Mus musculus: one gene and its partners. The protein of the gene in region 2 purifies or fractionates together with the protein of the main gene of each other region. This does not show direct contact. Links are inferred from orthologs where the notes say so. Each region holds a gene or a part of one and is shown on either strand. Other genes may lie near its edges. The genes, in order: Gnl3, Ifi204, Pes1, Ebna1bp2, Pop1, Brix1 and Ftsj3.

Evidence for each region.
Region 1: the proteins of Ifi204 (region 2) and Gnl3 purify together in Homo sapiens (affinity purification with mass spectrometry; 3 studies listed by BioGRID and IntAct, with this or other methods). This does not show direct contact. The link is inferred for Mus musculus from reciprocal best matches to the Homo sapiens genes IFI16 and GNL3.
Region 3: the proteins of Ifi204 (region 2) and Pes1 purify together in Homo sapiens (affinity purification with mass spectrometry; 3 studies listed by BioGRID and IntAct, with this or other methods). This does not show direct contact. The link is inferred for Mus musculus from reciprocal best matches to the Homo sapiens genes IFI16 and PES1.
Region 4: the proteins of Ifi204 (region 2) and Ebna1bp2 purify together in Homo sapiens (affinity purification with mass spectrometry; 3 studies listed by BioGRID and IntAct, with this or other methods). This does not show direct contact. The link is inferred for Mus musculus from reciprocal best matches to the Homo sapiens genes IFI16 and EBNA1BP2.
Region 5: the proteins of Ifi204 (region 2) and Pop1 purify together in Homo sapiens (affinity purification with mass spectrometry; 3 studies listed by BioGRID and IntAct, with this or other methods). This does not show direct contact. The link is inferred for Mus musculus from reciprocal best matches to the Homo sapiens genes IFI16 and POP1.
Region 6: the proteins of Ifi204 (region 2) and Brix1 purify together in Homo sapiens (affinity purification with mass spectrometry; 3 studies listed by BioGRID and IntAct, with this or other methods). This does not show direct contact. The link is inferred for Mus musculus from reciprocal best matches to the Homo sapiens genes IFI16 and BRIX1.
Region 7: the proteins of Ifi204 (region 2) and Ftsj3 purify together in Homo sapiens (affinity purification with mass spectrometry; 3 studies listed by BioGRID and IntAct, with this or other methods). This does not show direct contact. The link is inferred for Mus musculus from reciprocal best matches to the Homo sapiens genes IFI16 and FTSJ3.

What each region holds. Positions count from the first base shown.
Region 1 is NC_000080.6:31,016,332-31,020,332, reverse strand, and holds the start of Gnl3 (guanine nucleotide-binding protein-like 3), read left to right. Parts: upstream 1-1,201; 5' UTR 1,202-1,391; coding exon 1,392-1,404; intron 1,405-2,466; coding exon 2,467-2,525; intron 2,526-2,919; coding exon 2,920-3,057; intron 3,058-3,165; coding exon 3,166-3,276; intron 3,277-3,425; coding exon 3,426-3,506; exon of another isoform or gene 3,507-3,520; intron 3,521-3,878; coding exon 3,879-4,001. UniProt on the Homo sapiens protein: May be required to maintain the proliferative capacity of stem cells. Stabilizes MDM2 by preventing its ubiquitination, and hence proteasomal degradation.
Region 2 is NC_000067.6:173,753,420-173,756,919, reverse strand, and holds part of Ifi204 (interferon-activable protein 204), read left to right. Parts: intron 1-890; coding exon 891-1,313; intron 1,314-3,500.
Region 3 is NC_000077.6:3,970,475-3,973,974, forward strand, and holds part of Pes1 (pescadillo homolog), read left to right. Parts: intron 1-150; coding exon 151-260; intron 261-2,722; coding exon 2,723-2,894; intron 2,895-2,974; coding exon 2,975-3,064; intron 3,065-3,500. UniProt on the Homo sapiens protein: Component of the PeBoW complex, which is required for maturation of 28S and 5.8S ribosomal RNAs and formation of the 60S ribosome.
Region 4 is NC_000070.6:118,619,600-118,623,598, forward strand, and holds the start of Ebna1bp2 (probable rRNA-processing protein EBP2), read left to right. Parts: upstream 1-1,199; 5' UTR 1,200-1,332; coding exon 1,333-1,398; intron 1,399-1,482; coding exon 1,483-1,566; intron 1,567-1,761; coding exon 1,762-1,934; intron 1,935-2,470; coding exon 2,471-2,594; intron 2,595-3,698; coding exon 3,699-3,788; intron 3,789-3,999. Other genes in the region: Cfap57 (cilia- and flagella-associated protein 57), read right to left, coding at 650-806. UniProt on the Homo sapiens protein: Required for the processing of the 27S pre-rRNA.
Region 5 is NC_000081.6:34,505,311-34,508,810, forward strand, and holds part of Pop1 (ribonucleases P/MRP protein subunit POP1), read left to right. Parts: intron 1-1,108; coding exon 1,109-1,357; intron 1,358-2,809; coding exon 2,810-2,897; intron 2,898-3,293; coding exon 3,294-3,481; intron 3,482-3,500. UniProt on the Homo sapiens protein: Component of ribonuclease P, a ribonucleoprotein complex that generates mature tRNA molecules by cleaving their 5'-ends. Also a component of the MRP ribonuclease complex, which cleaves pre-rRNA sequences.
Region 6 is NC_000081.6:10,483,138-10,487,273, reverse strand, and holds the start of Brix1 (ribosome biogenesis protein BRX1 homolog), read left to right. Parts: upstream 1-1,336; 5' UTR 1,337-1,380; coding exon 1,381-1,539; intron 1,540-3,867; coding exon 3,868-3,979; intron 3,980-4,136. Other genes in the region: cell cycle checkpoint protein RAD1, read right to left, coding at 558-755. UniProt on the Homo sapiens protein: Required for biogenesis of the 60S ribosomal subunit.
Region 7 is NC_000077.6:106,253,285-106,257,357, reverse strand, and holds the start of Ftsj3 (pre-rRNA 2'-O-ribose RNA methyltransferase FTSJ3), read left to right. Parts: upstream 1-1,273; 5' UTR 1,274-1,597; intron 1,598-1,680; 5' UTR 1,681-1,706; coding exon 1,707-1,773; intron 1,774-1,932; coding exon 1,933-2,038; intron 2,039-2,525; coding exon 2,526-2,572; intron 2,573-2,671; coding exon 2,672-2,751; intron 2,752-3,496; coding exon 3,497-3,596; intron 3,597-3,681; coding exon 3,682-3,876; intron 3,877-3,953; coding exon 3,954-4,069; intron 4,070-4,073. Other genes in the region: Psmc5 (26S proteasome regulatory subunit 8), read right to left, coding at 439-510, 1,144-1,167.

The DNA of each region.
Region 1 (4,001 bases), on a different chromosome or scaffold from region 2:
GATCTTAAAAACTACTAAAGCAAAAGCTATGTTCCTCAACATCTGGAATCCAATATGCTTCTGAATTACTTTGGGGGGAAAAGCCTACTACCAAATGGGTTAAGAAAGAAACGTATAACCACTTTTTTGTTTTAATGGCAGGTCTCACTATGTAACCCAAGTACACTGGAACTTGCGATACTCCCAACTCAAGAGCTAGAACAGGTGTTTTCTACTGTGCCTGGCTCCTACAGTAAGTTTTGAAAAGTTTGGATTAAGATAGCATATTCCACCATACGCTTCTATAGTTAGTCCTCGAATTCCTACATCCGGTCTATTGTGTATTTGTCATTTGTTTTCCAGGAATTTTATATTTTTGTCCCCCCTTTGATATCAAATTTTCTTAAAATAAGACTCACTTCTTCAGAAAACAAAATTTTGAAACGGAAAATACTTTTAAAACCAGAAAATACAGTTTACAAAAACTCAACTCGTCGTGACGGTACAAATGAGAAGCTTAAGTACCTAGCCTGTAAATAAGTAAGTCTCTCTGACAAAAACAAAAAAATATTCCGTTTGGGCGATCATTGGGAAAGAAAAAAACAAAAACAAAAACTCAATAGGGAGTTTTTTGCCGAACGCACAAGAAACCAAAAAAAAAAAAAAAAAAAAAAAAAAAAAAAAAAAAAAAAAGAGGCCTTGAGAGGCGGAGGAAAAGAAGAGTTCGCCCGACCTGTCACTGGTTCTGGGGCTAAAGGAAACGTTGACAGCTTTGAAGGCGGCCCGCGACGGGCGGGAAAGAGCAGCGAAGGGAGTTTCCGGGCCCTGCTCTGCCTTTGTCCCGGCGGCAGGTGCGGCCGGGCTGCTGGGCCCTGTCCCGAGGCCCCGCCGCCGTGCCGTGCCGCGCCCCGCCCCGCGCCCTGCCCGACCAGCGCGTCCGCACCACGGGGCGGGGCCTCCGCCGCGACTCCCGCCCGCCCGCCCGCCCGCCCGGGCCGACACAAAGGCCCGGCAGCCGGCCGAGGAGGGGCGGCCCCGCCCGCCCCGGGCCCGGCCTTACCCCGCCGCTCCGCCGCCTGCAGCCCCGGCTGCGGTCCCCGACCGCCGAGCCCCGCCCCGTGGCCGCCACGGCTGCTAGCGCTCCTCTGGCCGCGGCCGTCTCTCCGGCACCCGCCGCCCTCACCGCCCTCACCCCTCCCAGTGCTGCCGTAAATCCAACCTGTGGCCGCCAGGCGAGCCCGGCTCGGCGCGACAGTGTATGTGTGTGCGCGCGCACTCGGCCCGGCCCCGACACACTTTCCGGCAGGTCCTGGAGCGCGTGACGTTGAACCGCAGTTCCAGTTCGCACGTGGCGCCCGAGAAGTCGTGGTGATCCCGAGACCTCCTCTGCTCCTGAAGCGTCCGCGGCCAGGATGAAGAGGCCTAGTGAGTGGGGTCGGGAGCGAAACGCGCGGGTGGTGCTTTGTGGCTGGAGGGAGAGGACTCTCCATAGGCCATTGATGAGTTCCGCGTAGATCTGATGCTTAGAAGGCCCAGACCCAAATTTGGCCTGTTGTATAGCAGGAGAGCTAAGCCCTTGAGAGGAAAACCGAGCCAGATTTCTGTGATTAACGTGTTTGAGCCTCTTTTCGAGCCTGCCGTTTTCCTAGAACTATTCAGAACCATGGTCTTTCGGCCTTGGTGGCACGCGCCCTAATCATGTACACGAAGGATGACGCAGTAAGATAGAAAGTTTGCAGCCAGCCTGGGCTGTATACTGAAACCATGGCTTAAAAATTAAAAAAAGAGCCTGGCCGTGTTGGCGCACGCCTTTAATCCCAGCACTTGGGAGGCAGAGGCAGGCGAATTTCTGAGATCGAGGCCAGCCTGGTCTACCAGGACAGCCAGGGCTACACAGAGAAACCCTGTCTCGAAAAAATAAAAATAAAGAAAGAAACCTTGATATTTGTAGTGCTTTCCTCTAGAAGCTGCTTCCATTGTGGGTCCACCGAGTCGAATTGACTGGCGTTGTGGTGTGATTTCCATTAAATACCCTGCATAACTTTGCAGGGACGGTTGAGGCAAGATCTATGTTGCCCGGGATAGCCTTATTGTTGTAGGCCCCCATGGCCTGATAAAACAATCTCTTGAGGGCCAGGAATATGGCTATAAACACTTGCCACTAAGCCTTACTGTCAAGAGTTCAAACTCATATGATAGGTAGAACTGACTCCTGGAAATTGCTTTCAGACCTACACACAAAATAAGTAAATGAAACATTTTGGGTATGGAGTGAAGACCCAGGGTTGTCCCAGCCCACGTGGCAGCTCCATGCTGTCTGTAGAAGGACAAGTGATGAAGCCCTCTTGTGGCTTCCTTTGCAAGAACACTACATGCACGTGGTTGGTCTGCTGACAAGAGAGGGCAAAACATCCATATAGGTGATGTGAGAAATTTAAAACACTCACTGCTCATGTGTGCAGTCTTTCTCTTTCTTTGTTTTGGCAGAGTTAAAGAAAGCGAGTAAACGTATGACCTGCCATAAGCGATATAAAATTCAAAAAAAGGTAAGTGTTCTGTGAGGCCCATAGCAAGTGGGGTGCTAACATGGCTTTCTTCATCTCTGTGGGGAAGGCTCTTGTCATGGTATAGGATTGGACAGACTGCAGCTGTGGGAAAGTACAGGGTAAACGAAAGCCTCAAGCTAGCACACTGGCATCTTTACAGAGAGCTGCAACACTTTTCTGTTTTTTGTGTACATGTTAATTCCCTGTATAGTTCCAGTTGAAGTTCTGCTTTTCTAGGGTGCTTCACATCCATTATAAATTGCGGATAGGCTGGCTTGTTCCCTAAGTTCTCAGTGCTTATGTATTTTTGTAGGGCGAGTTGTTTCTTTTGTATTAATACTGAGGATTGAACCAAGGCAAGTGCCTTCCGACCTCATAGAGCTGTTTTTAATAGGTCCGAGAACATCATCGAAAATTAAGGAAGGAAGCTAAAAAACGGGGTCACAAGAAGCCTAGGAAGGACCCAGGTGTTCCAAATAGTGCTCCCTTTAAAGAGGCTCTTCTTCGTGAAGCTGAACTAAGGAAACAGCAGGTAATTTTTGCTGGCTGAAAGCTCCAGTAGAATGATATATGTGGTTTCCAAAGCAATACACTGCCACCAGTCACTCGCTCATTCCTCTCTTTCACGTCTCTGACACAGCTTGAAGAACTAAAACAGCAGCAGAAACTTGATAGGCAAAAAGAGCAAGAAAGGAAAAGAAAACTTGAAGTTAGCCCTGGTGATGAGCAGTCTAATGTGGAAACTAGGGAGGTAAGGTTATCTTTCCTTAAAACTTGCGTTCCTTGGGAGTAACAAAACGTAGGCTTTCTCATCCATTTAAAATATATTGCCTGTAGTGATCTGTGGGAAATGTTGATATACTGGTAACAACTGCTGTTTCTAATTTTTCTTCCTTTTAGGAATCTGACGAGCCCAAAAGAAAGAAAGCCAAAGCAGGCAAACAGAATCCAAAGAAGTTACATTGCCAGGAACTTAAAAAGGTACCTTAGTATAGGTTAGTGTCAAAAATGATCTAAGATTTTTGAAAACTTAGTCCTTGACAGCTGCTTTGTAAAGAGGGAATTCTTAGAACGCTGTTGAAGTCAGAGTCTAAAGGGTGGGCAGTGGATTCCCAATGTGCTTGCTTGCTAGAGCTCCCCATTTCAGGCATGCATTTCCCAAGCTCACCTACCTGCCTTCTAAAAAGGCCTGTTAACCTAAGGACTCAATTGGGTAGATTATATGTCCAGACTTAACAGTCAACATACTTGATAGTGAAATGCATACAGGAGATCCTATCTTCTGGATTCACTGTCAGTGTTGAGGGTGCTACTCAGTAAGGACTGCTGCTCTGATGGTTTCTTACTTGACAGGTGATTGAAGCCTCAGACATTGTGTTAGAAGTTTTGGATGCCAGAGATCCTCTTGGTTGCAGGTGTCCTCAGATAGAAGAAGCTGTTATCCAGAGTGGGAGTAAGAAGCTGATACTTGTATTA
Region 2 (3,500 bases):
ACCACTAAATGTATTACTTTACTTTTTTATGTTATGCGAATTGGTTGCACTGATCAAAAAATTAGATCCAATTGGGTCTGTGGAGACAGAAACACTATCTCCATAAACTCAAAATCTATGAAGTTCATAGCTTTTTGACACTTTGCAGATTGTCTCATAGTTAGAGAATCTTCTCTCCATTCAAATACTCTATTGAAATCCAGGGAGCTCAGACCACTATACAGAAAAGAGATCAGATCCTACCAATATCTCTCAGGTTCCACAAATCATTGCTGATCAGGAAAACTCTCTATCCATGTTTAAGGACATGTCTCTAACAAAATAACTCTACTGGAGCCTATTTAAATGAAGGGGCTGTGAGCCAGCTAGTATTTTTGATCATTTAATGATAGACTGTTACACCTTGTGGAGATACACTGTGATTTCTATCCTCAAAATAACCCACAGTGAGTCCGATGGTAACTAAAGACCTTTGACACCTTTATGATATTTTATAATTATTGTCTATTTTCAAAAACATTTAATTTTCCATTTTTATCTGCTTTGGACATAGTGTAAAGATTTTATTTGAATTAATCATATTTCTACTTAAGTACTCCATAAAATTATTCTCAAAGAATGTGCTGTATTTATATTCAACACTTTTCTTCATGTTAGAAAGTAACTCTTTTTTTTCAGTGAAAGTGTTTAAATGTCAGTGGATGGAGCCCCTTGCTTTAATTCATTGGCCTTTTGGTCAACTAAAGAATTCCTGTTTAGCTTATCTTCAGTTTTACAAATTCATAAAAATTGTTAGGAACAATGTTGAGATTGAGATTTGTCTCATGTAAAGGTTAATTTGTATTTCTGCTAAACTCATATGTTTATATCCCTGTATTTGTTCAACACAGAACCAAAAATCACAACCCCAGAATCAGAACATTCCCAGAGGTGCTGTTCTCCACTCAGAGCCCCTGACAGTGATGGTGCTCACTGCAACAGACCCATTTGAATATGAATCACCAGAACATGAAGTAAAGAACATGCTTCATGCTACAGTGGCTACAGTGAGCCAGTATTTCCATGTGAAAGTTTTCAACATCAACTTGAAAGAAAAGTTCACAAAAAAGAATTTTATCATCATATCCAATTACTTTGAGAGCAAAGGCATCCTGGAGATCAATGAGACTTCCTCTGTGTTAGAGGCTGCTCCTGACCAAATGATTGAAGTGCCCAACAGTATTATCAGAAATGCAAATGCCAGCCCTAAGATCTGTGATATTCAAAAGGGTACTTCTGGAGCAGTGTTCTATGGAGTGTTTACATTACACAAGGTAAGGTGTGAAAACTTGTCTTTTAACCTTCTACACCAACACCTGGAAACAATTTCCATAATAATTTTTCATTTAGTGCTTAATGACAGTATTGCAACACAAGACTCTACCTTGTCTAGGGATAAAAAGAGAAATCATCAAATAGATTAGGGAATAAGATTGGGTGATCTCTTAACACTCAATTCCCTAAGATAGATCTGAGAGAACTCTCTGGAAATGGTGTACAAGATACTTCCTTTTACTACTTACAAATACTTATGCTCAGCCACAGCGAGCAGGAAAGTGACAGGGCACAGGTTGGTGTCATGCTAACAGTTTCTATTTGAAGCTCTATGCAACTATACAACACTTATTCATTTCTTTCTCTTGGAAGCTTTATGGCTCTTTAGTAGTCTTTTAACAAAAGCTCTTTTAAAAAATCAGAGGGTGGATTGGGTGGGTGAGATAAAAATCTGGAGTGTAAAAAAATAGATAGATTTAAAATAGAAAAAAATCTATTGTTTTATGGCATACTCTTTTCACACTAAGCATATGAACATCAATGGAGTACTACTCAGCTATTAAAAAGAATGAATTTATGAAATTCCTAGGCAAATGGATGGACCTGGAGGGCATCATCCTGAGTGAGGTAACCCAATCACAAAAGAACTCACATGATATATACTCACTGATAAGTGGATATTAGCCCAGAAACTTAGAATACCCAAGATATAGGATACAATTTGCAAAGCGCATGAGACTCAGGAGGAAAGAAGACCAGGGTGTGGAAGCTTTGCCCCTTCTTAGAATTGGGAGCGGAACACCCATGGAGGGAGTCGCAGAGATGAAGTTTGGAGCTGAGACAAAGGGGTGGACCGTCTAGAGACTGCCATATCCAGGGATCCAACCCGTAATCAGCCTCCAAACGCTGACACCATTGCATACACTAGCAAGATTTTGCTGAAAGGACCCTGATATCGCTGTCTCTTGTGAGACTATGCTGGGGCCTGGCAAACACAGAAGTGGATGCTCACAGTAAGCTATTGGATGGATCACAGGGACCCCAATGGAGGAGCTAGAGAGAGTACCCTAGGAGCTGAGGGGATCTGCAATCCTATGGGTGGAACAACAATATGAACTAACCAGTGCCCCCCGGAGCTTGTGTCTCTAGCTGCATATGTATCAGAGGATGGCCTGGTCGGCCATCAGTGGAAAGAGAGGCCCATTGGTTGTGCAGACTTTATCTGCCTCAGTGCAGGGGAATGCCAGGGCCAGGAAGTGTGTGAGTGGGTGGGTGGGGGAGGGTGTGGGGGACTTTTGGGATAGCACTGAAGATGTGAATGAAGAAAGTACCTAATTAAAAATAAAATAAAATTAAATTAAATTAAAAAAGAAGACCTGAGGAGACTGTGTCAGCAGCAGGAGGATTAAACCAAGGATTGTTTTTTTGTTTGTTTGTTTTTGTTTTTGTTTTTTTTTTAATAATGTCACTTGAAACCTTGTTTCCAAACAACAACAAAACCAAAAATTTAATAAAAAATGAATTAATTATCAAGAAAAAGAAATTTATGGGTAATAGCTTGAGTAATGTTCAATGCAGTATAAATTGGAGACTATTTCAAAAAATTACCTAAACGAATGCAAATATTGACTATGACAATTTGGGAGTTATATATAGATTAGATGGCAAACTCTTCAAGTCAAAACCATTCAATAAAATGAATTGACTATCTCTACATATAGTAGGTTTAAGCATTTAGTGTAGATTCTTGTGTGTTGTTCTATTAACGAGTTATTTCTGATTAGCATAGCAACTGAGAACTACTATATGAAATGACATTTTGGAGGCAAATCAACCTACTTTTCTAGATTCACTAGATTTCTAGACTTACTAGATATATACAGATATCTTTTTGATGCATCAAAGAAGGAAGAGGCCTGTCCAAAGTTCTGATTCCAGTGATCTCTGGTAATTTGCTGGGAACCCAGGCTGTTGAGAAATAGAGAGTAGTGGAAACAGGAAGAACATTTATTGTCCTAGCACTTCCTGGAAGAAATCTGCAATTCAAGAAATCAAATTATTATAGTTGTAGAGAAATGGCATGAGGAGACTGCTCCCAGCTTGCTAGCTGTGAGGAAACCTGGGATCTTTGTCACTCTCAGCAGACTGAGTGAGGAGGCATACTTTCTCAAGGAGGGAATCCTGCT
Region 3 (3,500 bases), on a different chromosome or scaffold from region 2:
TTGGCATTCTTGAGCTGAGGGGCCTGTTGGCCCAGGCAAACAGGTATGACCAGTTTCAGAAAGCATTGAGAAGACCCTGCCCCATGTTCATCCTCCATAGAGGAGATGCTCAGAGGCCCTGGCCGAAGCCTCATTGGTCCCTTCTTCCAGGTGTTTGTTCGGAAGCTCCGCAAAGCCTATGGAAAGAGCGAATGGAATGCTGTGGAGCGCCTGAAGGACAATAAACCCTGCTACAAACTTGACCACATTGTCAAGGAGCGGTGAGTCCTGCACCTCAGAATGCTGCTGTTGCTGCTGAGTGCTGTCCTAGTGTTAGGGATGAAATGGGCTCAAGACCAGCACTTGACTGATAGTGCATGTCCTCTTAGAGGAGTTAGACCAAAAGCCAAGCTAGCAATCAGTCCTGATTGTAAGTAGCATTGGTTACAGTAAGGGTTGTAAGGCAGCATGGAGAGGGCTTAGGTGTATGGTACAATTGCATACTCAGAGAGGTGTCTGCAAAATGACCTATTTGGGGCAGCCAGGAATACACTTCATGAGCAGAGACAGCAGTACCTTCAAAGGCCCCATGGTGGAAGAGCTGGAGCCACTAGTTCCCATACTACAGACTTAGAAAGCATGGTAAGAGAGGTCTGGTCTTAACTGTTTCTTGCTCAGCCTTCCAAAGACCCCTCCCAGTCACTAGCTGATCAGTGACTTCTGCCTTTTCTGGGGAATTGGGCAAATGCCTGAAGACCCTTGTAGTTCCTACAGTTTGGATGGAAGCCAGCATTGGTGCTAAATATTCTTCAGTGTTCATAATAGTTTCCACAACACTTTGGCCTGGAACTAATTAAGTGTAGAACTACTAGGCTATTATCTCTGTTCTGTGCAGTGGTCTAGGCACACTTAGTTCCAGAATGAAGGGGCCTAGCTTCCTTCCTGGGATCTGGAGGGCCTTGGCCTGGAAGATAACAGTTGGTATCAGGAACTGGATGCCAGAGGACAGGAACTCCTGAGCAAGTACACGTTACTAACAGACATTTTGGTAGCTCCTGTCCTGCCTATGACATGACCTTTATATGGAAGAGATAGTGGGTGTGAATGAACCCAGAACAAGCACCTGGGTTCATTCACAAAGCAAAAAGTCTCCTTTACCAGAACCAAAGCCGGGTGGTCTAGAAGAGGCGTGTGCTTGACCTACAAAGGGCCTGGGGTGTTAGCTTTGTCTACAGAGTAGAAAGTTAGGAAACTTTGAGGCACCAAGGGGGCTGAAGAAGGATGCTTCCTCTGCCTCAGGAACCTAGGAAGCTGTCCCATCACCTGCCAGGTCCCTAAGGCTTCCCTTCATCTCTGCCTGCTTTTGAAGTCCTGGCAGCCCTCTCAGTTGTCGTAAGCAGTGTTGCCTGTGCCCTTCAGAGCCCTTTATAACATGGCAGGGCAATCTTAGTTGTTGTTGTTAAAGACAGGGTTTCTCTGGAGTTCTGGAACTTGCTCTGTAGACCATGCTGACCTAAAAAAATCTGCCCTGCCTCCCAAGTGCTGGAATTAAAGGTTTGAATGGTTTTTTGAGACAGGGTCTCACTAGCTCTGACTATCCTGAAATTCATTGGCCTCCAGCTCCCAGAGATCGCCCTCCCTCCCTCCCTCCCTCGCTCCCTCCTTCCCTCCCTCGCTCCCTCCCAAATGCTGGGATTAAAGGTGTGCTCCAGCACACCTGGAAAGACCTTTTCTCCCAGTGAGCCTTCCTAGACTGTGGTTTAGATGCTGGCAGCTCTGGGGATGCCGAGCTTGAGGAGGGAAACTGAGTCCTGCATATTTGTCTTTACTCGGTGTGTTTAGAGCCACAAGAGGTGGGTGGATTGGTGGTTTGATTTTTGAGATAAGATCTTATAGTGTAACCTAAGCTAGCCTGGAACTCAGGATACTTCTGCCTCAGTCTCCCAAGTGCCAGGACTGCAGGTGTGCACCACCACAGCTGCTTAAAGACACCGTATTTTAAGTCATTTTTGTTCAGCAGTGCCTTTTTCTAGATAAAGCTGGAGTTAGATGAGGCCTAGTGACCCAGTTAGGGTCACAGCTCAGTTCAGGTACCACGACTTGAGATGGAGTGTCTTTTGTGTCCCACACTTCTGTCCCTTTTTTTGGAAACCACCAAAGCAGTTGTGCTTTGACACCTTTTGAGACAGGTAAGACCCTATCTCAAAAAATCATTCAATCCCAGCACTCTTGCCCAAGTGATACTTTGTCTGCTTCTTCACTCACCACGGCGATCCTGGAAATCCGTGATTACTCTAACTGGACAGGGTCCCAGTTAGAGATGGATCTGTCAGATACATGCATCGGACTGCTGAGAAACGGGAAGACAAGACCACCCAGGTGCCAGTGCGCCTGGGGAAGGAAGCCCACTTTCCCTGGCCTACTAGGTCGACTTCCCGTTTTTCCTTTTTCTCTGTGGGCCTTTCCAGTTTCAAGTAGAGTCAAAGAGCCATCAACTTGGTGTCCTCGTTCACAGAAGGTAACATGGGGAAGGTTCCTGAGGTCCCAAGAGTTCACTGGAACTTTCTAGTTTTCAGTGGCTACAGGATTGTTTGCAGATGCATGGCCAGCTGTGGGAAAGTTGTTGCTATCACCATCTGAGGAAGTAGCTGTGGCAGTGCCTAGCTTGGGTGTCAAGGCCTCTGGATAGAGGGCCTTGGAACCCAATGGAGTGGGCATGAATGCTGCCCTCTCCACCCTGCAGGTACCCCACATTTATCGATGCTCTGCGGGACCTCGATGATGCCCTGTCAATGTGCTTCCTCTTCTCCACCTTCCCTCGGACTGGCAAGTGTCATGTGCAGACCATTCAGTTGTGCCGTAGGCTCACTGTGGAGTTCCTGCACTATGTCATCACTGCCCGAGCCCTGCGCAAGGTGAGCTGAGGCTCTTCTGGGGAGCCCTGGTCCTGCCCTGTCACTCCTTGGCTTTCATGCTGTTCTCCCTCCCTCCCCAGGTCTTCCTGTCCATTAAAGGCATTTATTATCAGGCTGAGGTGCTGGGTCAGCCCATCGTATGGATTGCACCCTATGCTTTCTCCCATGATGTAAGTGTGCCTGTTGGCAGGGCTTTGTGCTGTTTCCTGGAAAGGTGTTGGTGGGGTGCTGTCTTGGAGTCTAGCCCTTGCTTGGTTCCTGATTATTGGCAGCTACGCGTGATGAGAGCCAGGGACAGAATAGGGACTATGCTCTACAGCCCAGTCGGTCAATAACCCTGATCAGTCACAGTTCTCAGTGTGATATGAGCATAGACGCATAGGCTAAGCCTGACTGTCCACTCCAGCACCCCTGCTAGAGCAGTGCTTCTCAGCCTTCCCGACACTGCCATTCTTTAACAGGCTTCCTCATGCTGTGGTGACCCCAACCATAAAGTTATCTTTGTTGCTACTCCATAACTAAATTCACTGTTATAAATCATAATGTAAATATCTGATATGAATATGGTCTTAGGTTACCCACACATTGAGAACCGCTGTGCTAAAT
Region 4 (3,999 bases), on a different chromosome or scaffold from region 2:
CTCTTCTGGCCTGCAGGTATACATTCAGGCAGAAAACTGTATACATAACTCTTTAAAATAAGTAAATAATCCGGGCAGTGGTGGCATACACCTTTAATCCCAGCACTTGGGAGGCAGAGGCAGGCAGATTTCTGAGTTCGAGGCCAGCCTGGTCTACAGAGTGAGTTCCAGGACAGTCAGGGCTACACAGAGAAACTCTGTCTCGAAAAACCAAAAAAAAAAAAAATGTTAAAAGGTTATTTGTCACTTAAGATAAAAATTTCAGCGTCTCCATCAGACATGGGTTCAATGAAGGTCATGTACTCTCAAAACCGTTAGACTCAAAAGAAGGTTCTGGTGAGGACAAACACAACTGCAGGAGAATACAAGAAAAACACTGTTTAAAGTAACTCTTCTCTGGAGTCATTGTGGAAAAGTACTTTTAAAACGTGTGTTATTTTACCTGTCATTTTGGCTACTTGTGTCACGTTAATCTATGATTAAGTAGTGTAAATGGCCATTTATTTTGTTTACATTTATAAAAATATGTGGATAACCCAGTTATCAAAAAAAAATCTTCCCAATCGTTGAGATTGTGCGGTTTTGTGTAGCACATGCCTTTAATGTATGTGTCAGAATGGAAAAGGTGGTTTCTTTTTTTCTTTTTTACCTGCAATGAATTTTTGCCATTTCTGATCTATATTGTACTTCACACAGTGATTTCCTGAAGGAAATATAATGATCTGTTCATCGAAGAAGAAGACATTGTTGGTCACGTGAGGCCGAAGACCAAAAACATGAAGCGCCTGAGCTACCACGGTGGACATGGTACCTGTCAAAAAGTATTGCAAAAGATGAAGAAAGAGGCAAGTAGGTGGGAGTGAAGCCGAGCAGCGCATCTCCCTTTCCTGCCCCGCCCCGCCCCGCCCATGGCCCCGGCCCGCCCCTCCCTGACCCCGCCTCGCCCCTCCATCGCCCCGCCCCTAGGCTCCTCTTCCTTTCCACCCCACCCCCGGGGCTCTTTCCGAGCCTTTCCTTCCTCTCCTGCACTCCCACCGCCCTCAGATCCTTAGGAGGACCCCAAAGAAACTATTTACCTCTTGCTTCACGGCTCTGGGTTACTAGACTACGTAGGGATCAGTAGGTGCTCTTCCTAAAGATCCGAAGCAATCCGGGCACGCCCAAACGCTAGAGCAGTTCCTATAGCAACGAGAAAACCGGAAGTGCGGCTATGAACCCGGAAGCGGAAGTCCCTGTTGAAAAGGCAGAGGCTTGTGGAGAATTTGTTGGCGGTGGTGCTGCTTGTGGGCACGTGGAGTGGCAGCCGAACCTCGCGGGGCGGAAGGCCGCGAGATGGACACCCCTCCGCTTTCAGAGTCGGACTCGGAGTCGGATGCGTGCCTGGCCTCAGATCAAGAGGTAGGCCGCAGCGGAGCTAGCGGGGCAGGGGCTGGGACGGGGACTTTATTTAGCTCTTTGGTACTGAGGCTCCCCGGTCTGTAGTTGCAGGATGCGTTTTCCCGCGGACTCCTGAAGCCAGGTCTCAATGTCGTGCTAGAGAAGCCGAAGAAGGCAGTGAATGACGTGGTGAGCTCGTGCGAGGGTCGGGGTCCTTGGAACAGGATGCGCACAAGCGCTGTGCCTCTTGGGAGACCGATTCTGGTGGGAAAGATGCACCCTGCGCTGCGGTCGTCATCCTGTGCGGATATTTGAGCATAGGACTTTGGGTTTCTGAGAGTCAAACTCGCGGTTCTCATGAGCGCCTTGTCTGACTTAACCTAGAGTGGCCTGAAACAGTGCTTGGCTGAATTCAGACGGGATCTGGAGTGGGTTGAAAGGCTCGATGTGACCCTGGGTCCAGTGCCAGAAGTCAGTGAGACTCAGCCAACACCTCAGAACCAGGACCAGAAGAAAGGCGTTAATCCAGAAGACGACTTCCAGAGGGAAATGAGTTTGTATGTTTGTTATGGGTCCTGCGATGGAGTTACAGGAAGGGGGTCTTAGTGTGTCTGCAACCTCAGAGGCACTGGGCGGGGTTAGCACGAGCGTGCGAGTGGATCTAGCGGGTTCCTCTGGTGGAAAGAATAGGTTCTTGGTCGCCGTTTAACCAGAACCCTGCTCGAGGGATGTTTCAGAATAATTCATTTGAAGCTTGTGTGGGTGCCTCCAATCATTAGAACACACTTTGCCTAGGGAATGTTATGAGTGCTCTTTCTGTAATGATTGGGAAACAGTTCATAGTCTGCGCAGTATTTAATAAGCTCGTTGTTTTAAACTGACTTGCTCTTGGAAGTATTTTCCCCTCGTAAATAAACATAAAGTGAGATTTCAGTTATATGTGCAATCAGTGGAGTTTTAGTTGGTGTGTCTGTCTTATCTTGCCAGTGCTGGTGGGATGTGATAGCTCTGAGGTTAGGTAACTTCTGAGAGGCAGTAAGAAGACATGAGCGCCCTTCCCCTCCCCTCATTACACCCTGTCCTGTAATGTCAGCTACCGGCAGGCCCAGGCAGCAGTGCTTGCGGTATTACCCCGACTCCATCAGCTCCAAGTCCCTACGAAGAGGCCCACCGATTATTTTGCAGAAATGGCCAAGTCTGATCAGCAGATGCAAAAGGTAGGTTTTTCTTCTGGAAAGCCAAGGTTTCATTTGTTCAGCTGGGTCATTCCTGTAGTCTTCAAAAAAAAAAAAAGATGTGTGGTGTTTGTAGCCAGTATTTCAACAGTCTCTGCTTCAGAGCCATGCCAGTCGCCTAGGCAAATTAGAGAGAGACGGTCTGGAGAAGTATGGGCCCTACGAAAAGAAGCTTGCGTATTTCTTCCCTGTCAGAGTGAGTGGAGTGGACAGACACAACAGTCTTAGAGTTCTGGCCCAGCAATGCCAAGGAGATTACTGTTGCTTCTAGATGGGGTTTTCCTCTCTGGCCCTTTAGCTTTTTAGAAATGGAAGACTTGACGGATAACTCAGATGTGGTGTGACTTAGAGTTGGGGGTTTGCGTATTTCTTCCCTGTCAGAGTGAGTGGAGTGGACAGACACAACAGTCTTAGAGTTCTGGCCCAGCAATGCCAAGGAGATTACTGTTGCTTCTAGATGGGGTTTTCCTCTCTGGCCCTTTAGCTTTTTAGAAATGGAAGACTTGACGGATAACTCAGATGTGGTGTGACTTAGAGTTGGGGGATTTGATCTTCACTTAACTTTGGGAGGAAAAAAACCTTGACGTCACATCCAGGATGTATTTAAAATTGTTCCTTTGGTCTCAGTCTTTGGCCTAGAGAATTACAGGTGGTACCTCAAGAGGCCAATCCTGAGACAAGCACAGATCCATCTACATCTGACAGTCACACACATAACTACTTAGCACTTTCAGTACAATGTGTGTGTGAGTGTGTGTGTGTGTGTGATGGAAGAGGTGAGGTACGAGTGTGCAGGAACTATTACAGATGTGGGCCATTAGAATGCTGCAGTTTTGCCTTAATCTGTGGAGAAACAGCAGGTCCTGTATGATAAGTAGGCAGCTTTGTGCCTTAGAGAGTCAGGGTCGTGTTTAAGCTCCTTCAGCCCATGGACACTTTTGGTGCCAGGCTCAGCTTTGGGACCGTATTGTTTTAATTTGGAAATCTAGGACAGTAAATGAGTTCCACAGCGTTCAGAGCTAGTCAGACACTGGCGCTCCATTCTAGTGTGCTCCAAATAGTGCCTAACAACTCTCTGCGTTTTAGATTCGACAGAAGCTGCAGACTAAACAGGCCGCCATGGAGAAATCTGAAAAGGCCAAGCAACTTCGAGCGCTTAGGAAATATGGAAAGAAGGTGAGAAAGAAAGAGCACCTGCGTGGGCCGGGCAGGGCCGGGTGCGCCAGGGCAGACTGTGCTGGGGTTCCTGGTAAAGTGTCTGCTGGTGTCCCTGAGCACAGGTTCACTCGCCACCGTGGCACACCTGGGTGTATCCAGCATAGTGTGGTAGCAGTGGCTGAGCTGCAGTCTCTAGAGTGATGGTTTGGGATGCAGGGCTGACTTTGTG
Region 5 (3,500 bases), on a different chromosome or scaffold from region 2:
GCAGGCAGTGCGATATTATAGCTGCTTTTAGTAGACCTTTAATCCCGGTGCTCAGGAGGCAGAGGCAAGAGGATCTCTGGTTTCCCAAGGAACCTTCTCTTCTCTTCTCTTCTCTTCTCTTCTCTTCTCTTCTCTTCTCTTCTCTCTCCTCTATCTTTCTCTTCTTTTTTTTTTGAGACAGGGTTTGACTTGGACCTAAGGATGACCTTGGATTGCAGGCATGGACTGCCATTCTGAGTAAAACATCCTCTTCCCTTCCCTTCCCTTCCCTTCCCTTCCCTTCCCTTCCCTTCCCTTCCCTTCTCCCTTCTCTTCTCTTCTCTTCTCTTCTCTTCTCTTCTCTTCTCTTCTCTTCTCTTCTCTTCTCTTCTCTCTCCTCTATCTTTCTCTTCTTTTTTTTGAGACAGGGTTTGACTTGGACCTAAGGATGACCTTGGATTGCAGGCATGGACTGCCATTCTGAGTAAAACATCCTCTTTTGTTTTGTTTTTGTTTTTTTTAGACAGGGTTTTTCTGTGTAGCCTTGGCTCTCCTGGAACTCACTCTACAGACCAGGCTATCCTCTGCCTCCTGAGTACTGGGATCAAGGGTGTGTTCTGCACCCCCACACCACGCCCCCCTGCAAATTTTTTACTTTCTAGATTGACTGTGAAGTCTGTTTTCTAGCAGAATTTAGCATTTATCTGTCTGTAGTCTAATGAAATGAATGAATTGGTGTTTCCACAAAGGTAATGGGTGGTTTTGAGCCACCATATGGGTGCTGGGAATTGAACCTGGGTTTTTGTAAGAGCAAGGCGTGGTAAAACACTGAGCCATCGCTCCAGCCTCTGTTGTATCTCCATAAAGGATGAGGCCTGCTTGTCCTGCTAGCAAGTGTTAGGTCTTTGTCTCCTTTCTAGGATTACCTGCCTCTGAAATCTTAATAGTTTCTATTGCCTCCCTCTTCAGTCAATGTGAGAGAAGACTCCAAACTAGCCAGCTAAGCAGAGGGGCCTGTCAGGTCTCCACCCCATCTGTTTATGCTTAGTCATTGAATCCTAGTGCTCCGCTGTGCTCTGAGATGCTTACAAAGAAGGTTCGGGTTCAGCCTTTCCTTTTTAAACTGTAGGCGGAGAAAGCTGCTCATCAGAAAAAAGAACATTCAAAAAATAAATGCCACAAAGCCCGAAGATGTCACATAAACCGGACTCTGGAATTTAACCGCAGACAACAGAAGAACATATGGTTAGAGACTCACATCTGGCACGCCAAACGGTTTCATATGGTGAAGAAGTGGGGTTACTGCCTTGGGGAGAGGCCCACGGCCAAGAGCCACCGAGCCTGCTATCGAGCCATGACAAACCTCTGCCTCCTGCAGGTACACCAGGCTACTGGACTTAGAACCTTCCCTGTGCCAAGTCTTAGGCTTGTTCATGGTGCAGCAGTCTTTTCTGTAATGTTACACATCTTCCAGATGAAGACAAGGACCCTGCTGGGTGCTGGAGGTGAAGGGAGAGGCACATATGTCCAATTGTTAGTCAGATAGATGGGTGTAAGAGACAGGATGCCAGGAGGGACAGGATGCCATTCTTTTTTAGTCAGTGCTAGACTAGAACACTTGATTTTATGCTTCACATGTGTTCATTCATCAGTAGTCCTTACAACAACAGCTTAAGGAAGTCAGTTCCTGTTTTATAGATGTGGAGACTAAGTTACCTCCGCCCATACAACCTGAGCTTGGGGCTCAGGCCATCTGACTTTTGACCATTTTTCTTTGTTGTGACCCAGTTGTATAAATTTGGGTGAGCTCCATCTGATAACTGAGAGGGAGCCATTGTTGGCAGGAAGGTTTCTGTGTCAATAATGGAAGTGGTTGATAGGGACTTGTTCAAATCACCACTGTAATTTTCAGTTCCTGCTGCTTAGCAGGCTGGACTTACTTCAGAGTGCTGTGGAGAGGGTTGCTTGGGCACTGGTCCTGGCTGCAGTGCACAGATGAGTGTGCCGGTGCCTTGGTGCCCTCTCCTGGGACATAAGAACAGGACTGATGGTTAACTTCAGGACTGTAGCAGTCAGCACAGTTCTTGAGATTCCTTCATACTCAGTCCAGTCTCTCCTCAGCTTCCTCTCAGTTTGCCCTGTGCATAGCTTACTCTAACTGGCATGGGAGGGAGATGGACAGATTAGTTCTTTATGTCCAACTTAGCACTGCACTCGGAGGTGCTGCAGTGGCTAGCCAAAGTGAGCAGGGGTTTTTTTAGCATAATTTTGTGGACTTCTTCTTGTCTTACTCCTTTACTGTGGCTTCTCACCTTCTGTAGATCTGAGGAATAATGAGTAATCCTTTTTTAAAAGCAGTAGTTTTTATAGCCTATTTTGAACTTGCCTGTGAGAGTAGAGTGAAGCACAATAAGCTTGCTAAAGTGTAGGGCACTGTATATGATAAATTAAATGAAGGTGCATTTTGATTTTGACTCAGATTGGCTTAAGACTATCTGCTAATGTAATAGTAGTAGGCAGGCTTTAGATTTTGAGTTGTTGAAAGCTGACTTCCGGTAATTGATTTTGTTCTTAGAACAGGTTTTCTGGTTGTCGGAGATGTTAGATCAGATCCCTTCTGGACGTGGAGTTAGAGGTAGTTGTGAACCACCCAAAGTGGGAGCTGGGAATTGAACTTGGGTCCTCTACAAGAATAGTTTGTGCTCTTAACCTCTGAGCCATCTCTCCTGTGTTCCTCCACAGGTTTTCTGATACAGCACTGGCTTCTTAGCATTTTTTTTTACCCCATAACAGATCCTAGAATATTTAAACATGTCTCTCCTTTGTTCAGGATTTATCATATTACTGCTGTTTGGAGTTGAAAGGCAAAGAGGAAGAACTACTGAAAGCGCTCTCTCAAATGTGTAGCATAGACGCAGGTAATTTCAACAGCTTGTGCTGTGTTAATCTTTGTGTATCTGTTCATTTGTAAATAAATGTCTGTTATAAGCACTACTAAGCAGTTCAGATTTAATATGGAAATGTAAGATATTCTTATTCCCAGTGAGTACGTTAATTTAAGAAAGGTTGAGTTGATATTTAAATCTTTAATAACATTCTTATGTAAAGTGAGTCATTATTCCCGGAGTAAACTTAGGCAGAAACACCTTGAAACTCACTAAATCATTGATTTAACAAAGATTTTTTGAGGACTTACTCTGGCCAGAACCAAAGCTTCTCTCAGAGACTGACAGTTGCTAAAGCATGGCTCTCAGGAATAATACTGCTCTGTGTGAGCACCCACAGTCTCGCTGTTGCATTTATGTTTGTGCCAGGCCTGACTTTTGCTGCAGTTCACTGCTTGTCTGGGAAGCGGCAAGGGAGCCTCATGCTTTACCGGGCAAATAAGTATCCCAGGGAAATGCTTGGGCCGGTTACCTTCATCTGGAAGTCTAGGATGACCCCAGAGGATGCTTCTGAGGATAGGCAGCTGTGGATCTGGCTTCACCCAACTCTTAAACTGGTATGTCTTTCTGTTGCAT
Region 6 (4,136 bases), on a different chromosome or scaffold from region 2:
GTCACTTAAGGATAGGATAATTCAGTGTCAGGCAGTGGTGGTACATGCCTTTAATCCCAGCACTTGGGAGGCAGAGGCAAGGCAGAAGCAGGCGGATCTCCAAGAACTTGAAGCCAGTCTGGTCTATAAACCAAGTTCCAGGTAACCAGGGTTACATGTTAGACTCTATCTCCGGGGGAAAATGCTCCGAGGAAAAATTACAGCCAATAAGAGGAAAAACTAAAACGTGCATGACAATAATACTGTAAAGAGTAAATAGGGTTCTCGCCCTAATTCAATCAGTTGTAAGACTACTGAAAATTAAATCTGGTGCCACTATGTCAAACGAGAAAGTGTCTATATGTGTAAAGATTAAAAGAGGAAAATGGTGAGAAGAGTCATTAATAAACTATCACTAGTAATCGTTATCTGTGTGAGACAAGATGGGGAAAGTATTTGTTGGCAGGAAAGAAAAAAAAGTAACGACATTTTGTTCACTAACTTGAGTTTTGTTGAATTAAGTCCTTCCAAATTCATTCATTAGGGAATGCTTTAAAAATGTCTTCACTCCCCCATACCTGAATAAAGGCATTTGCTTGCACACACTTTGCATTCTCCACTGTAACCTTGATTCCGTTTTTGGTAGCAAAACACGTGGCGTGTTCTCTGAAATGAATGGCTTTCAAGACAGTGGAGAGATTCCTAACGTTGTCAAGGCTGGCCACTAAGCAGTACTGTTCGTACTCCTCTTCATTGTACTGGGTTAGGAGAGGCATGGATGGTCCACGGTACCGTCGGCTCCGAGAAGAAGGATGCTCCTCTTCCGGAAGATGTGTGAAAACCTGAGACACGGAACAACAAACCTCGCTATCAGTGCGGACAGGACTGGCGACCTCAACCCGAGCCGAAATCGAGATCATTCTATTTTCATGTCTCAAAACTACGGTATTCTACACTGAATGCAGTTCACAGGGTAGCTCTAAAAGGCGCGGGTAACCGGGCTTGCTTAGCACCTCTGAGCGCCACCAACCTGGCTTGCAGGAGAACGCGACTTCGGCCCGCTCGCCGCACAGCGGCCACTAAGGGAGCCCCTGGCGCCAGGCTGTGGGTGACGTCCGACCCCTCAAAGCCCCTGCCACCCCAGCCCCAAGAACACCCTGAGCGTCCAAAAAGCTAGCAAGCCAGGCAAACAGCTCCCGCCACCGTTCAGATACGCAACCACCTAGGCCACCGTCACCACCGAGCCGCCGTGTGCCTAGAGAGTCTACCTCGAGACCGGAAGCGAGCGCCTTGGAGCCGGATGACTTAACTCACAGCCTAACGTGGGCTACCATAGAGATCGGAAGGCAGAGCGAGCGGCAGAACCGGAAGTGCAGGCAGCGACCGACGCGGCGAGGCGAGATGGCGGCGACCAAGAGAAAGCGGCGTGGAGGCTTGGAGGTTCAAGCGAAGAAGCCAAAAAGGAGCTCGAAAGATGCCGGGCAGCCAGCTAAGCAGGCCGATGTGGCCAAAGAGGCGGAGGAGGAAAATAGAGATCGTATTCCAGGTCCGGTTTGCAAGGTAAGAGGCCCGACTCCCGAAGTTGGAGTCGGCGCTCTGACCCACCTTTGGGCCACCGAAGCAGCGAAGTGACTCCAGTCAAAACTTGACAGGATCTTATGCTTAGGGTTCCCTGGAGGGACTGGACAGTGTTTATGTCTAATTTTCGTGTAGATGGCCTTCTTCCTGGAGACAGCAGTTCGTAGACCCTAAGCCAGTTAACAGGGAGTTGATTTAATGGGTGTTTAGTTCCAGGATCCTTGTCTTCCAGTTACTGACCCCCACCCCGCCTCCCCAGAGTAATGGTTTTCCTTTGTCTTTTTTTTTTTTTTTTCTCAGAGTCTTTTTGGTGTAACTATAAATTCCTTCTGTTTTGGTCCGTATCACATAGGATTACCGAAGTATGTATGTATGTATGTATGTATTTATTTATTTATTTGCCAAGCCTTTAAAGCTACAGTCCTGTGAGTCTGTGACTCTGACTTGTTTGGTTAGATCTTTTAACTCAAGGGTCCTAGACCACTAGTTTTACTGTGTCAAACAGTGCGACACACTTATACCAAGATGAGCTTCCCTGGCCTTAGCATCTAGGAAATAATGAACAAGAGTTCCTCCAGAAATATTGGAGTTTAGAAGGAAAGAAGGCTTCATAGAAAACTGTGTGTCTCTTCTAAAGGCCAGCAGGTTCTTGTTGGAGTTACTTTCAGTCACCTGGAAACTCCTTAAGGAAGGTATCTGTATGGAGGAAATCTTGCCTCAGACTTGTTAGTCCTTTGTGCTTAGTGTAGTACTCAAGTACTGAGTGAGGCAATGTGGACATTGTACCCCACTTTTAATTAACAGTTAAATCTTGTACCTTTGTCTGAAAGGATAAAAGTGACTTTTGAGGAAAATTAGCTGGTTTTCAATAAAAGTTAGTGCGCTCCCTCTTAGGAGCTGGACATGAAACATGAAGGGAACTAATCTGAATCACACTATGATATATGAATTGGAATTAATGAGACAATTACTACTATTAGGGTGGTAAGGAAACACCCTAATAGTAACTTTTAGCTGAATTTCAAAGAAAGGCTTAAATTTATGTATTTAGAAAGACAGGGGGGGGGGGTGGTGGAAAAAATTCATCAACGGCATTAAATGGGGGTTTAGAAATTCTAAACTCAGCTGGTTAGCTGAGAATGTGCAGGGTCAGTGTTGGGCAGTGGAGGTGTAAACAGTGAACATGTAGTATAGAGGGTATTTGACATTTTGAGGTTTGGAAACCAAGATTAAATTGGGGCTAGTTGGCTGTCAGCGGTGATTCTGTCTGGGCAAGCCAGACATCCAAGAGCTTCGCAGCTGATAATCAGTCACAGGGATTTGAGGACACTTGTAAGCGTTATAAATTGTTGTAAGGAGGTACCGATTTAGTAGTGCTTATGATGTCTATATAAGAAACTAGAGACAGCTGGGCGTGGTGGCACACTCCTTTAATCCCAGCACTCGGGAGGAAGAGGCAGGCAGATTTCTGAATCCAAGTTCCAGGACAGCCAGGGCTACACAGAGAAACCCTGTCTTGAAAAATAGAGAGAGAGAGAGAGAGAGAGAGAGAGAGAGAGAGAGAGAGAGAGAGAGAGAGAGAGAAACTAGAGGTAAAGGGGTCTTCAGAGCATGAGGAACTGAAATGAAGTAGCAGAAAGATGGAAGGACAGGAGAGGAGAAAGGAATGTTGGTAAGGAAATATGCTAGATTTAAATTTGGTAAAGGTTTGTGTTACACAGACGAGCTTGAAGCTTTACTTTAGTGCATGCATTACTAGAGCTAGAGAGACTTCTTACCCTTCTGTACATGGTTAAAACTGGAAATGAAGCCAGGCACTGATGGCGTACGCCTTTAATCCCAGCACTCGGGAGGCAGAGGCAGGTGGATTTCTGGGTTCAAGGCCAGCCTGGTCTACAGAGTGAGGTCCAGGATAGCCAGGGCTATACAGAGAAACCATGTCTCAAAAATCCAAAACAAAAAACAAACACAGAAAAAAAAAACCTGGAAATGAACATAGGTACTGTAATGGAGACCAATAAAAAGTTAAAAATGAAAGGGTGCTAAGAAAAGATCCTTATGGTGGTGAGGGGCAGTTGAAAAGTGGTTTGTTTTGTTTTGTTTTAATGTTTCTCAGTTGCGGACAGTTGTCTGTATTCCCAGGATAGCCTCAGTTTCCTGGTTCAAGTGCTCCTCCTGCTTCAGCCTCCCTAGCTGGGACTACATAGAGGTATACCAGTGATGCCAGAGATTGGAGACTTGACGACTGTCAGAAACACACCAAGTATGTTCAGCACAAAATGTTAAGCTCTAAGGTTTTCTTTTCTTCAGGGCAAATGGAAAAATAAGGAACGGATCCTCATCTTTTCTTCCAGAGGAATAAATTTCAGAACAAGACACTTAATGCAGGACTTGAGAATGTTGATGCCTCATTCTAAAGCAGGTACTTTAATATCGGGCTTTAAACTGTGTGTGTATAAGCCTGCTTACCGTATATTACATACTTACTTGTTTGCTCGGCTTTGTCAGGCAAAGAACCCCAACACAAGGGTTTCGGGGACAGCTTAGTGAAGTAGATCTGAGTTTAGTCCCCAGAACTG
Region 7 (4,073 bases), on a different chromosome or scaffold from region 2:
CACACAAACAAAAAATCCTAACTAAACACTATTCCCATCAAAGAGATTATCAATCTACCTTACACAGCTTGGTACCTCCTGACTACAAAGGAGCTGGAGAGATGGCTCAGCAGTCAAGAGGGTTTCTTACTGCTTTTGCAGAGGGCCTGGGTTTAGTTCTCAGCACCTGTAGTAGCTCATAACTATTTGTACGTAACTCAAGTTTCAGGGGATCCACTGCCCTCTTCTGACTTGCACAGACATCTGTATATATGTGATACACATAAGCTTACGCAGGCATATATACATATACACATAAGAAACAGACAAGCAAAGAGCTGCAAACGAACAACATTGGAAAAGAACTCTTTGCTGCACTCCCAGTGGAAAAAGGACACAGAGAAATCTGCACCTACCAGCTCCCGTCCTCCACTAGCTCCCTTTGCTGTCTGTACTCACCTGGAGTTCTTCAATCTTGGACAGATAATATTGACGGAGTCCACTGCCTGCCTTCCCCTCTTCCAGTTCCATCTGAAGACAAGTGTAAGTGTTAAAAAAAAAAAAGAAGAAAAGAAAAGAAAAGAAAAAGAAAAGGCATAAAGTACTAAAGGGTAAAGCCAAAGTATTTTCGAGGCACTCTACCATATAGCTTAAGAAACAAGGTCAGGAAAATACCATTCCCTTTTCCTCAGAAACTGGTATCTCGATGGGCGAGGTCTGTGTGTTTGAACTTCGGAGGCTTAGTTCTTGGTTCTAAGCCTTCATTTCTGAATCCACTACAAGGATGCAATTACCGCCTACCTTCGAGGACTTTTAGGAGTCTCAAGGGGCCATATACCCACCGAGCGCACTGCCCTGTGGCTAGAGCTACACATCCCCAGGGTTTAACTACTACAGACAAAGGCAGAACAGAGGGACCAAGTCCAGGTCGAAGCCCAGGCCATTCCGGCTTGCCAGCTTCATTCAGTTTCCACCCACCCCTGTCCTGCTTTCCTCAGGGCGGCGCTGACACAGCAGATCCAGTCCCAGGCAGAGTCCGGTCTGACGTGATCCACCCACCCCTGATCCACTGGACCCTCTCGCTCGTGGCCACCCCTCACTTCAGATTTTGTGCACTCCACACTCAGCTTGGATGCCGCCCAGCCGCCGCGGCAGAATCCTTACCTGCTCTGGCCCATCAAGCGCCATCTTCCCTCTCTCGGCAGGGATCGCCGGCATCCAAGTCACTCTATCGCGCAGGCGCGGAGGCGAAAGCATGCGCCCTGGGTCACCACCGAGAACAGTTCCGGGTCAATGGGCGGGGTGTGTGGCGATACAAACACAGTGGCTGTATTAGTAGAGGCTCTACTGGAGGTCACTAGTTTTGTGAAGAGATATAGAACTTCTGGTTGATGCTTCCTAGCGTTTAGGATACGAGTTATTGCACTCTACTTCCTAGCCTCTACTTTTAACTTGTAAGGCCTGCTGACAAAAAAATTTTGGCCACACTCAAAATGGCGGAAATCATGACGCCAGGAATGTAGGAAACGCGCGCAGAAGCGGAAGTACGATTACTGCCTACATGTGCTGCTTCCTAAGAGTTGAAAACCTGCGGAGTTAAGGGCTATCTAACGTCTGGGTAAGTGATTGCTCCACCGCCTGAGGAACCGAAGCGAGATCCAGTGCTCGGAAAGACGATCTCACCTTTTTCTTTCTCCCCAGAGTGAGTGATACTCCCCCATCCCGCCATGGGCAAGAAAGGCAAAGTAGGCAAGAGCCGGCGGGACAAGTTCTATCACTTGGCCAAGGAGACTGGTGAGTGGGTTCGCGCTGAGGAACAACATCCCCGTCTTTTCGCTTCTTCTAGTCCCGAGTTCCTTTTCCTTCGAGGGGGTTATGGGATTGTGAGGCTTTCCTCCTGGGAAAGGCCTCCGTAGACGGTATTGCCTTATACACCCACTCTCCACGATCCAGGTTATCGTTCGCGCTCTGCCTTCAAACTGATCCAGCTCAATCGCCGCTTTCAGTTCCTGCAGAAAGCCCGGGCCTTGTTGGACCTGTGTGCTGCGCCTGGCGGATGGTAACGTTTGGCAGGGGCTGCTATGATGACACGTTCCTGGCACTGGTTGGCTTTGAGTTGCTTTTCGGGGAGGATGGGAATCCGATTACACAATTCAGATTAAATATTCCATAGTATGTGTCTCTCTCAAATTTTGGAAGGGAGCGTCATTTTCCCCCTCTTGTGGTACTGAACCTAAGGACTTAACTCATGCTAAGGACTTAACTCATGCTAGGCAGCCCCTCCACCACCGAGTTATATCTCCAATTGCTTTATTTTGAGACAGGGACGCTGAAAAATTGCCAAGGATGGCCTTGAACTTTTGGTCTTAATCTCTTGCCCTCCTTAGTGGCTGGTAATGCAGCCCTGTGTTGCCATGCCCAGCAGGTTGCTTCTTGAATGTATGCATAGACATTTGGCCACTACACTTAACAGGTGCCTCTTAAGGGGATGAGAAGTCACCTTGCCAAGGGAGGATGAAAGGTATTTAAATCTGTCTCTTTCACAGGCTGCAGGTGGCTGCCAAGTTTATGCCTGTATCCAGTCTTATTGTAGGTGGGTGACTCTTGGGTATTTGAGGGGGAGGGGTGGGTTAGGTACTAATTTTGTCCTACATCTTCCTCCACCCTGTAATACTGAGTTAACATCTTTTAGGAGTGGACCTCGTTCCAATCAAGCCTCTCCCCAATGTGGTGACTCTCCAGGAGGATATCACAACAGAACGCTGTAGGCAGGTAATAAGACCTCTCCTTCTTTTCTTTCCTCTTTATGTGCTGGTGTCATTGCCTACTTATTTATTTATTTAGTGTGTGTGGTCTTTCGAGACAGGGTTTCTCTGTGTAGCCCTGGCTGTCCTGGAACTCACTCTGTAGACCAGGCTGGCCTTGAACTCAGAAATCTGCCTGCCTCTGCCTCCCAAGTGCTGGGATTAAAGGGGTGTGCCACTAGTGCCTGGCTGTCATTGCCTCTGAAGAGTGAATGAAACACTTCCCAATTTACCATGGTTTCAAGCACGTGGCCAAAAAGACTGACAATCCTTGTGTACATTTCCATCTTTATTTACAATCAAGTGTTTTTGTTTTTCCCTGAGATAGAGTCTTGCTGTGTACTTTAGGATAGCTTCTAACTGTGTAGCCCACACTGATGTGGAGCTGAGTACATAGCCTAGTTTGGCCTTGATCTTGCAGTCTCTCTCCCTCTGCCTCTGGGATTGCAGTCGAGTGCCACCGTGCCTGGCAGGGATAGTACTGTGAATTGGTGGAAGGATGAGAGATCTATCTTCAGAAAAATTCTTTCCAGGGAACTAATTCTAAGCTTGGGGAAGATGTATATTTTTTGTTGCTGTTGCATCCCTAGTACCTGGTGCAGGATGTTGGCACTGGTGGGCGCTCAGTGCATGACTAGACAGATGACTGAACCAGAGTTCTGTTCTTAGCAGTTACTGTGTTTCCATTGCTAGAACCCCTTTACTTTCATTAGGCCCTGAGGAAGGAGCTGAAGACCTGGAAAGTTGATGTTGTGCTCAATGATGGGGCTCCCAATGTGGGGGCTAGTTGGGTCCATGACGCTTACTCCCAAGGTACAGGGAATGTGGGCTTGGAGGTGAGGGTGGAGGTAGCACATCGAAAGGCTGCAGAGGTTCCCTGACTGTTTCCGTCCTACAGCTCACCTAACTCTGATGGCTCTGCGTTTGGCTTGTGATTTTTTGGCCCGTGGTGGTTGTTTCATCACAAAAGTCTTTCGTTCCCGAGACTATCAGCCCTTGCTGTGGATCTTCCAGCAGCTGTTCCACCGTGTCCAGGCCACGAAGCCCCAAGCCTCTCGCCATGAATCTGCAGAAATCTTTGTAGTCTGTCAAGGTGAGACGTTATTCCTTCCTCTTGACACAACCTAATTATGAAAGCAAACTTTTATTTAATCTATCTTCTCCTTTTAGGATTCCTGGCTCCGGACAAGGTTGATGCTAAATTCTTTGATCCCAAGTTTGCCTTTAAGGAGGTTGAAGTTCAGGCTAAAACTGTTACTGAGTTGGTGACAAAGAAGAAGCCAAAGGTGG